3 linked regions of the Coturnix japonica genome follow. The protein of the gene in region 3 interacts with the protein of the main gene of each other region in a pairwise test. Links are inferred from orthologs where the notes say so. Each region holds a gene or a part of one and is shown on either strand. Other genes may lie near its edges.

Region 1 (3,748 bases), on a different chromosome or scaffold from region 3:
ATCCCAATGTGAGCTGTCAGCCCACTGTGCTGCATCTTGCCTTGAAGGTGCGCCTTAAAGGGTTGAAGTGGTCACCTAAATTCAATCACAAAGAGCTCAGGAAATCTGTTTCATGTGAATTTCAGGCCAGTTTAATAACAAGAGCTTGTGGTCTGTGTGATAGAGCAACTTGTACGTGCTATAATCAAAGGACTCTGGGACACGATAACAGGAAAGCTTTGGAGTAGAAAATGTAGTAAAGATAGTGAGTGTCGGCAGCCCCCAGAACACTCTAAGCTGTTTTCCATCCTCCTCCTCCAAAGAAAGCACTGACATTCCTATCTCCCTTAGCTCAGTAGAAACCAAAGAACAACCACAGGAAGCCGGGGCTGTCATCTTCCTCTACTGCAGGGAAGACAGCTTTATTCTGCTTGAAAAGAGAAAAGAACCCACAAAGCCTGGTCAGAAACACCTGAGCTGTGAGTACCCTGTGCTGAATATGCCTGCTGAGCTGCCTCCCTCCCTGACACAAGGAGAGCAGCAGGAGCACAGGCAGCTTCAAAGCAAGTGATAGAACCAAACGACCTGACGAGTTACTAGCTCCCTTCACATCATCAGCAAGAGCCAACCGTTCCCATTGCACTACTAGAAGGCTGTCGGTGCCACTAACCTGTGCCTGTTTTTATTCTTCCTTTTTTTGTGGCTGCTGTGATGGCTTCCAGAAGTGGAAGAAGCTGCTTTTTGGGGTTTCACCCCTTGCACTGATCCATCCAACTCCTCAGCATCCTCCTGGCTGGGTTCGTTCTCCTGATTATGGAAGTCTGGAGATGTGTCGCTTTCAGTCCCACTGCCCGGCTCACCTGGAATGGGACGAGAAGCAGAAGAGCCCAATGATTATCACCTCACTGTTCACATCCCAGGGCTGCTCCTGCAAAGTATGGGGGGGAAAAAAGGGCTACAAGAACTACAGACACCCAAATTTCTGGTGCCAAGGACTGGAAATGCAGCCCTGCTGTCAGACCCAAAGCCATGGTGACAGCAGAAGGAAAGGTCTTAAAGCTGGATGCCCACAACAGGCTGCAGCCTCCAGTAGTGAAGCTCTTATCTCCTCCCATAGCCACGTGCAGCTGATGGAGAGACACAAGACATCTAAAGGCATCACTTCAATCCTGGTTTCTCCATCCAAAGTGGACAGCAGAGAGCCCAACAAAGCAGAGATGGGGCCGAGCTGTGGGGAGAAGCTCAATTCTTCCTAATTCTGCCAAGTGAAGAGGTGACTTACGCTTCTCAATGAGCTGATCCTGGACTCCAGCTAACGCACTGACAGCCTGGAAGGATGAAATGGGTGTTAATGACAACAGGGATGCACTCATGGCTTAACAGATACCCACAGCAGCTTGGTCCCATGGGGTTGGGGGCTGGGGGCAGCTCTTACCGCAGCAGAAGTGACTGAGGATTTGCTGAAGAGCCTCTCGGCCTCTTTAAACTTGCGGTTCCTGCGGTCGTTTTTGCTGTTGGAGTTCCTGCAAAGGAGAAAAGAGGATGGAGGCGGCCCATGGAAGGGGGGGGGGGGGTTGGATGGATGGGGAGGGGGGTTTGGGGGTCCCATGGAAGGAAGGGGGGCGGGTTGGGATGGATGGGAGAGAGGCGGGGCTGAGGGTCCATGGAAAGGGGGGGGCTGGGATGGATGGGAAGGCGGGGTTTGGGGTCATGGAAGGGGGGGTTCTGGGGGTCATGGAAGGGGAGGGGTTGGGATGATGGGGAGGGGGTTTTGGAGGGTCCATGGGAAGGGGAGGGGTTGGGAGAATGGGAAGGGGGTTTGGGGGTATGGAAGCCGGGGAGGGTTGGATGGATGGAGAGGGGGATTTGGGGGTCCATGGGAAGGGGGGGGTTGGAATGTATGGGAGGGGGGTTTGGGGGTCATGGAAAGGGGGGGTGGGGGGTTGGGATGGATGGGAGGGCGGGTTTGGGGTCCACACTCACTTCTGGTTGGTGAGATAACGGTCCCAGCCGCGGATGATGTTGCCGTACATCTGCGTGTCCTCCAGGTAACTCCCTTCGAAAGCATAAATCTGCCTTTCCAGGTTGGCCAGCGTCTCCTACCGGGCACACACAGCGCGATGCATAGAAGCGGGCCTGGCCTTACCTTAAGGCCACAACCACAACCACAAGCCTCACCGCCTTCCCACTTTATCCCCCCCGTCCCCATCGCTCCCTGCTCACCGCCAGCTCCTGTTTGCGTTTCACCAGCTCGGCCAGCTCCCTTCGGGTGTCCGGGATTTGCGGGGGTCCGCCGGACTTAGCGTGCAGGGCGGCCATGGCGGCTGCGGCCTGCGGGGAGCGGGCGGGGCTGCGGGGAATGGCCGCTAGGGGGCAGCACTGAACAGCGCTCCGCCCCCCTGCTCCGCCCCGCAGCCGCTATAGGGTCGGGCTTAATAGGGACATGGGAGGGGGGTGATGGGGAGCCCTAAAAGCATCCAGGATTTGGGTCTGTGCAATAAACAACAAGGCAAACCTCGAATATAAGGTTGAACCCTTCTGCTCACTCAGCAGCTCAAAAGCAGGGCTCAGTGCTTCCCTGTGCAGTGCATGGGGGGGAAATAGGGATATAGGAAAGAAACATTACAATTAAATAGAATTACAAATTCTTTATTTAAAAACCTTGAGATTGTGTATATATATAAAGGTGATCCTTCAAGCCAAGATCTATCCTGCTTTCTATATGAAAACCTATATCAACACCCCGTATTTACACCATCAATGCTCCAGTGTGTGTATACAGGTTGTGTGTGTGGCCATAGAACAAACAGGCAACAGTGTGTTAAGCATCAACATGGAAACCATAGGGAACAGACAGCCACAAAGAGGTGAGATGTGTTTGTTTCCAGTCATTGGGGTTTTTAATTTCCTCTTCCTAAAGCTTTTCCTGTGGGGGAGAATGTTAGAAAGCAACGAGAGCTTCAGTTCTTTTTATATATATATATATATATATAAAGAAAAACTTAAATAGTGCAAACCGGGTAATAAAAACATGCCACCACGTAACGAGTACAATTACAAACAAAAAACATTAAGTTACTCATGGAGCTGATAGAAACAAAGGGCTGAGGTTTAGGAGATACATGACAGTCAGCCATAGTTTGGGTGCTGCAATGTATAGCGTGCATTGATGTGGACCTCAGCCCTCCCAAACCACATCGTTGCAACCTAAAAGCCTCAGGTTGTGTTTCCTTTTCTTCTCACTTACCTTGGAATCGACAGGCAGCTCATTGTGGTCAAATGCCCATTGCTCACAGTGCAGAGCAACCACCCAGGACACATAAAACCTTTGCAATATCCCTCTTTTAGTAGCAAACCTGGTCATTCTCCCTTCTAGAACTCTAGAATTTGGCAAACTCTACAAAACAAGACATTACAAACAATGCATGGGGTTACATTTGAAACTAACACCTCAGTTCAGTAGCGTTTTCAAAGGCTTATGACAAAAAACAGTGGATAAAAATATTCTTAAATACACTTTGCTGTGTTCTACATCGTTTCTTTATCCAGCAGAAAACCATCTTTGAACATGTTTCCAGCATCAGATCATTCACATCCAGCTGCTCTTTTGCTTGTCAGGGGGGTGAAATAAGTCAGATTTCCCACTATACAGACCTACCAAAGCCAAATATTCAGTGGAGTCCCCCACAATAAACCATAAGAACCAGTCAGCAACAGAAGGACTTTAAGGCAATAAGAAGCACCAGTGCTTTGATGCTCCAACATCTCC
Region 2 (3,648 bases), on a different chromosome or scaffold from region 3:
CAGAAGAAAAGGCCACACAGAGACAGAGAAGGAAACAAAAACAAGAAGAGAGACAATGAGACTTGCATGAAAAACCCAAGTTGAGGTGAAAGACAGGAACTGGCAGAAGCACAGTGCTCCTCTTCAGCAGCGTATCATTGTGCTTCAGAGCGTGCAGTGCCCTGCATGACATGGGTGCTGAGCAGTTTAAGCTCAAAACTTCTTTCTCATCATGCAGTAATGACAGCCAACTCAAACACATCAGTAACCTTAACATTCTGCCACCATGAGACCATGCCTTGTAAAAATCACCAATCACAGCACTAGATTTGTGCCAGGATTCCTGTCTAAACTGAGAGGTAAGGACAGCAAGCATTGCATTACCTTCTGCTGTAACATCCTCTGTGAAATAACTTGTGGCCTCCAAAGCAGACTCTGTTTCCTCTGGATTCAGAGCTGTGCTTACAGAGAAAGAAATGTTAAGATCTCTAAGGTAACTGAACAACAGCATTACCCATTTTGTTAGCAAAACTTATGATACATCTCTTTTCAGTTGTGTGTCGGAACACACCGTGCTCACAAGCAGCTCACGGAAGTGATCACTCACCAGGAGGCAGATGCAGTTTGTAAAGTACTTTGAGCTTTTCAGTGAGGTCACCATGGTACATCCCACCTGCAAGCGAAAAAAAACACACAAAAACTGAAGGATAAGAAAAAGAGCATTTAGGATTAAGAATCACTTTCTACACTCAATCTCGAAACAACATAAGTTTCTATGCAGCAAGGAACTGCTAAACTGTACAAAGCCACAAAGAAACCTACAGCAAAGTTTCATTTGTAGGTTTACCACCTACTGTTTCCCAAAATGAGAGTTTGTCTAGCAGCAAAAATGCATCTTTAGTTCAGCCTGAAGAACTAAATCCTGTAAGGCTGCCACCCTCCCTTCGTAATAGTTCAATCATCAGCATCTCCTTTTAGTTTTCTTGGAAGATGACAGAAAGATTTTCTGTAATATAGCAGCTCCAGAAATACCACTTACTCATCCCCGTCACAAACTCCTTGAAGTTAATGAGAGAATCCCTGTTCTCATCCAGAAGCCGGAACAAGCGCCCTGCTAGCACAGGGGTATGTGCACCACAGGACCAGGGGGTCAAAGCGATGAAGAGCTCTTTGAACTGCTCCATGTCTATGCGATACTGCTCCAGGTAGGGCAGGCTCTGATCTCGGCGGGCAGCTGCAGCACGATTATTTCCCCAGTAGCAGCTCATCAGGTACTTTGCCTTTGGAGGGAAAGCACTGATAAGTCAGGTTATATTATACTAAACAAGCCATGAGATCGGAGCCTTTCATACAGATCAAAAACAGCACCAAGTGAGAAGGGACATTCCAGGACACACAGTTTATCTTGCCCATTATGATGAGCATTACTTCACTACAAATGAGTACAAAATGGAGGAAGTGACACAGATTTCACTAAAAACAAACAATAAGTGAAAAATACAAAAAAAGATTCCTTTTTATTTGAGTAAAATGAAACTCAGGCTTTATGCACGCAGATATTAGAACTAGGCCTCCCTGAGTCCATAGCACCATGAAATTGAGCTTGCATGCAAGCAGGCACAGCGTAATTGAGCTTGAGTGACTTTGGGAAATGCACTTGGGTGTATTTAACAACACTTCCAATGACAAATAAAGACAAAGCACTTGAGTAATTGTGTTACAATTACAGAGCAAGGTTGTGGCAAACTAGAAAATGAAAACTGAGGTTCAAGTCAGTCTTAGCCCCATGTTCTAAGTACTACATGTCATTTCTACCATTGACTACAAACCCTCTCTCTGAATGAGCACAATTCAAACACTGTGATGAGGCCTGACCATCTTTACAAAAAAAAAAAACAACAAAACTGTTCAGTAATAGAGCCAATCTCACTGGCACCACATATATAACAGAATCCCTTATTTGCTCCTTACCTTGAACACTACATACAGCTCTTCTAGTTCTTCAATAGAGAAACCAATGTCACTAGACACAGCCCGGACCTAGTTAGAGGGCAAACAGAGTGATTTCTTTCAAAGCTACCCAAATTAAACATGACTCACTGAAATCTGTGAGCATAGAAGCTAAGAAAAGATTTGCAAGAAGGTATGAGAAAGGGGAGGAGAGAAAACATAACTGCTCCAATACTTCCCATTGCTATGGATTACAGGTCAGGAAGACAGCTTCAAGTCAAGCAGAAACTGCTGACATTTGAGCAGTAAGTAAAAAACTACTGCTACAGCTTCCTGTTTCTGCAGCCCACAGAACCCTGAGCTGTCCCTTCCTGTTGTTTTTATCTTCAGATTCAGATGCATAGAAAAACAACAGTGAAAGAAACGGATGAAATTCTCTACCTGGGAAACGGGAGATAGTTGCAATAGATGTGGACACTCCTTTTTAGTCACGAACCCTTCTGTAAAACTCCCAGACATGCTAGCATGCTTTCTAAATGCCATTTTGTAACTCATTTAATCCAGGCATCACATACCACACTCTTCTTGGCCGTGTCCTCCAGAGACTGGATCACCTTCAGCCTTTGTTTAAAACGCATTTGTTCAATGTCATCTGCCTTCAAATTGCTAAATTTCTATGAGAAAAGAAACAGGCTGGGTCAGCACCACATCCTGAAGAATGAATTACCCCATGTTTAATCACATGATTTTAACAAAGTGCACTGTCACACCAAAGACCATCCAACAACCCCAGAATACTTTGACCAGCATCGAGAAGGTGAAAAAAAATACCCTTCTCTCTATTAACCCCTGTCCCAAAATGTAATTCAAAAAATCAATTGGGTAAAAACTAAGCCAAAACCTGACCTCATAGGATGTTCTGATGAGGTCAAAGATGTCAATTTCAAGTGGTGGGTCATCCCCACTTGTCAATAAGGCATGCAGGTGTGGAATAGGAGGTGAGACACTCTGCCTGTTAACTACGTTGTCCAAATACCTGTGGAGAAAAAAAAACAACATAGAACAAATGCAAGACTCCTGGATTAACGTCAAGGAAGGAAAAGCAGTAATATCCTAAACACAAAACTCCTTCCCTTATTTGTATGATTAATCTAAACACGTAGAAAAAAAATTCCCAGCAAACCTACAACACTATCCTCAATATCTCCCACGTAGAGGTGATTTTCATCCCACTTTTGGGATATCTGTTCTTTCTAAAAGCTCCCAGAGGTACCTGAAGATCGTGCAAAACAAAGGACAGATTCACATTTGAAGCAAGAAAATGTTTTATTTACTATAATTGGGAAATATCTGCTTGAAAAGGCTTTACGTTACTAAAAGGCTATTCCTGCCAGGACTTGTTCTTAATAATGGATTAGAATTCTTCTGTGTATTTCGGGTAAGTAACCTCATGGAGTTCAAATTCAAACTGAGAAACAGGAATGTAGTATGCCACAAAGCAAACAACTCTGGATTCCTCCATACTTGAGCCAAAAATTTGTTTCAGCTGCTGCAGAAATCAACAGCAATCCTCTCCAGTGCTCAAGTTTCATCCTAGTCTGGTATCTGTGACCTGCTACGTAATGGAATTCAGGGGAACAACAGAAGAGTCTCTCTCGTTAGACTGAAAGGAATGATGACTAAAAGGGGTACTATCACCATTCATTTATAAATAAGAAG
Region 3 (3,648 bases):
GTGTTGTAGCCATGGCAGAAAGCGAGACCTGTCCTACCTTCTTGAACAGACTGGGAACAGCATCGCAGTAAATCTTTCGGAAGGTGGGGTGGTTTGCCAAGTCAATGCGCTTCTCTTCTGTAAGGAATGGGAAAAAAAGCAACAAAAGAAGTGAGAAACCTGCAGCAAACACAGCAAGAAAACATCCCGGCTGGCTATCAGTTAGCTGTTGTCTGCTGAGAACTCAGTAACTAAATAAAATCCAGATCAGATGGATAAGAAACAGGTCAATCCCTCTACATCTTCCTATAACAGGCTGTGATACAGAGCTAACACAAAAACAAATGCCTGATCTTCCACCACGATGGGACAGGTGTTAACAGTAGGGCTGGGCAGCACATAGCAAACCAAAGGATGTACGTGGGGGCCTGATCCCTACCTGTCTTCTTCATGCTGTGGCCCACTCTCCGTGACCAGCCCACAGGATGGATGAGGGGACTCCACATGTGGCACCAGAAGTCATAATCGCTGTCACCATCTTCATAGAGGAGTCTCAGCCGACCCCCGATAACAGTGTCCACCACTGCCATGCGTGTCTGAGACACACGGTTCTTATCTACCACCTCCACCCGCATGCCCTGCCGGAATGGGTACTTCATGCTCTCTGCCATCTGGCAAAAAGAAGAAGAGGTGAAGTGACCACACAGTGCCTTCCTTCCCCAAAGACCTCAAAGAAACAGCTTTCCCCTCCACACACACTCTGCTCAGATGCTCTCACTGCCCAAAGCTGACAGGGAGACACCTCTGGGAAGTACTGAATGGGAGTGAATTCATCAGAGGCACAGGGAGCTGCCAGCCCCACAACATGACAGCGTGGCTGGGCGCATACACCTTAAATCTCCCTTAGTCCCATGCACTTTTTGGAGACCTGCAGTTTGTTGATAACAAACCTAACAGCTTAGGATAGGATAACAGTCTATCCGTACTTACCTGCAAATACTCAAAGGCACGTATAGAACACGTGACATTTTTTCACTGGAGACCCCAGAATGCTATAGAACTACTATGGATACTCTAAACAGACTCTGACACCTCAACCAGCCTACAACTGAATGCAGATCTTCGAAGGGAAGGTGCTCCTCACTTCTGCACATCAGGTGGGAGTGGAATACTGGGAGAGAAACACACAGACAACATCTGCCTTCCTCCAGCACCTTCCACAGTGTGAGCTCTTAACCATGGCCCAGGAACAAGCAGCAAAAAAACCAAAAATCTCAGCTTCCTGAGAAGCAACAAAGGAAACACCACCTTAATCATGGTCTCACCTTGATGTGGAAGTCCACTGGGATGGTCCTGGCTCCCACCAATTTTTTCATGAGGTAGCTTCTCCAGTCAGTGTACTTGGCATGGATAGCTAGACACGCACAGGGAAAAAAGCAGATCTTTATGGCCAAAGAACTGTACTACACCTTTCTTCTTCAGTAATGCAATTCATCTGTACTAGAAGACCTCCACACTCTACCACTCTCCCTGCGCTCAGACAGACTACTCTGCAGCTCACCCTCACTACGGGCTATGAGGAATCACCACCACAGAAGGGACCGCACGGAGCTGACATCCAACTGCGCTCATCCAGATGTAGAAGTGGTACTACAAGAAACACGTAGGTCATGCCAAACAAATCCACGGGCCAGAATCCTGTTCAAGTAGCATCCTTCTCCTAAGTGCTAGCTGAGCAAGAACTGGAGCCAGCGTGTTGCTCAGAAACAAGATGAATCCCCAAAAGCTAAACCTAGCTACTGTCACGGTCAGAAGGAAGAATGGCTACATTTGTTAGACTCTGTCCACAGATATAACACAGCAGCTTGGCACCCAGCACCCCTCTGGGTCAGCCACAGGGAGATGCAGAGCAAACAGCCCCAACAGCACAAGCAGAGCTGTGGGTAGGAGTGTCCATCCCACTGTACCATGCATGAGCTGAGGCAGCCAAGCCAGCGTGTTGGCCTCCCTTTCCCACACTCACTTTGTGGTGGCACCAGGATTTTGCTGTTGACGGCACACCAGCCGATGGGATGAATATCCACTGCACCTAAATTGCACCAGAAGTCATGGCCATCATCATTCTCAAAGCCCTCATATCGCAAAAGGGCCCTGTACCCTGTCAGGACAGAACAAACAACCAAAGAAAGGCATCAGAGACAGAATTTCTCTTTTTCCTCTTGTGTACTAGAGGTTTATTCCCTACAGCAAGGAATTCAGAACTCCACACAGGTTATCCGAGCTTCCCCAACCATTACAGAGGCGGAACAGTCCTTGCAAAGAGCCCAGCAACCAGGAAAGGAATCAGATGCTGATTTCCCCCCACCTTTATACCGTGGTATTTCCTGTTCCAAAATCCCTCAGCAATATTTCTACGAACACAGGTTGAGGGAACTGGGATTGTTTAGCTTGGTTAAGGCTACAGGGAGACCTCATTATGGCCTTTCAGTATTTGAAAGGAGCACATAAATAGGAGGGAGAACAACTGTTTATGAGTCTGGACAGTGATAAGACAAGGGGGAATGGTTTTAAACTAAGACAGACAGGGGAGGTTTAGATTAGATATTAGGATGAAGTTTTTCACGCAGAGGGTGGTGACGCACTGGGACAGGTTGCCCAAGGAGGCTGTGGATACCCCATCCCTGGAGGCTTTCAGGGCCAGGATGAATGAGGCTCTGAGCAGCCTGGTCTGGTGGCTGGCGGCCCTGCACATAGCAGGGGGGTTGAAACTGGGTGATTGTTATGGTTTTGCAATTTGGTTGGTGTTGGTATTCCACATCAGAACACCATGCCTCATAATGGGAGTAAAGGGGACAAGTTTTTTTTTTGTGAACTGCCTCAAATGGGCATGTGGTGGACACCGGAAGGGAAGTGAGGAAGGGGACGGGGTTGCTGGCCGGCTCCCTGAGAGGAGACAACGTGGTCAGAGCTTCCTGCCTTCCACAGCTCCATCGGTGAGATTGGGGACTTGGTATTCTCTTTGTTGAAACTCTCTTGTTGTTATAGCGTTATTAGGTTATTAAACTGCCGTTCGTTCTCAGATCACCTTTTTTTCTCCCTCATTTTTTTGTTAGACCTAATCGCAATCTCCCTTCCCTTCCTCTCTCCCTAAACACACGTGGCCGGGCCACGCCGCAGTGCCGCTAGAGAAAAGGCGGGGGGGGGGGCTTTTGTTCCTGCTGCCCCGGGTTTGTGCCCACTGTCCCAGAGTGAGCTCTAGAGAGAACTCCGTGACAGTGATCCTTGTTGTCCTTTTCAACCCAGGCCATCCTATGATCCTATGAATTGCTGATCTCCAAAGAGCTGATGCTTTACATGACCAGCTATGGTCTTCTCACTCAAGTTTCCCCCAGCAGTCAACTGTGCCTGGCTGTTGGGGGCTGCATTGGAGGCTTACCTACAGTCTGGATGACTGATGCAATCCAGTACACTCGGCTGGGAAGCACGGCATCATTGTTCAGCACCTCCACTTTCATACCTTTCACCACGTCATCCCACTGATCGAAGAGCGGCACCTAAAGAATTGAGGCAGCCAGAGTGGGTGGGTACTGCATTTCAGCAATGGAGACAGCAACGTGAAAGACAAGCCACATTCCAGACAGCCATGCACAGCTGTCACACCACAAAATG

Evidence for each region.
Region 1: the proteins of L3MBTL2 (region 3) and MEAF6 interact in binary tests that used the Homo sapiens proteins (3 or more experiments, as listed by UniProt). The two-hybrid records come from large-scale screens. The link is inferred for Coturnix japonica from reciprocal best matches to the Homo sapiens genes L3MBTL2 and MEAF6.
Region 2: the proteins of L3MBTL2 (region 3) and TBC1D9B interact in binary tests that used the Homo sapiens proteins (3 or more experiments, as listed by UniProt). The two-hybrid records come from large-scale screens. The link is inferred for Coturnix japonica from reciprocal best matches to the Homo sapiens genes L3MBTL2 and TBC1D9B.

The regions. Positions count from the first base shown.
Region 1 is NC_029538.1:3,342,610-3,346,357, reverse strand, and holds the start of MEAF6 (chromatin modification-related protein MEAF6), read right to left. Parts: upstream 2,349-3,748; 5' UTR 2,299-2,348; coding exon 2,203-2,298; intron 2,079-2,202; coding exon 1,963-2,078; intron 1,503-1,962; coding exon 1,415-1,502; intron 1,308-1,414; coding exon 1,262-1,307; intron 840-1,261; coding exon 650-839; intron 407-649; coding exon of another isoform or gene 382-406; exon of another isoform or gene 1-381.
Region 2 is NC_029528.1:4,630,870-4,634,517, forward strand, and holds part of TBC1D9B (TBC1 domain family member 9B), read right to left. Parts: intron 2,966-3,648; coding exon 2,836-2,965; intron 2,604-2,835; coding exon 2,505-2,603; intron 2,020-2,504; coding exon 1,951-2,019; intron 1,260-1,950; coding exon 1,019-1,259; intron 653-1,018; coding exon 587-652; intron 436-586; coding exon 364-435; intron 1-363. UniProt on the Homo sapiens protein: May act as a GTPase-activating protein for Rab family protein(s).
Region 3 is NC_029516.1:45,388,689-45,392,336, forward strand, and holds part of L3MBTL2 (lethal(3)malignant brain tumor-like protein 2), read right to left. Parts: intron 3,534-3,648; coding exon 3,416-3,533; intron 2,138-3,415; coding exon 2,003-2,137; intron 1,394-2,002; coding exon 1,305-1,393; intron 651-1,304; coding exon 419-650; intron 118-418; coding exon 38-117; intron 1-37. UniProt on the Homo sapiens protein: Putative Polycomb group (PcG) protein. PcG proteins maintain the transcriptionally repressive state of genes, probably via a modification of chromatin, rendering it heritably changed in its expressibility.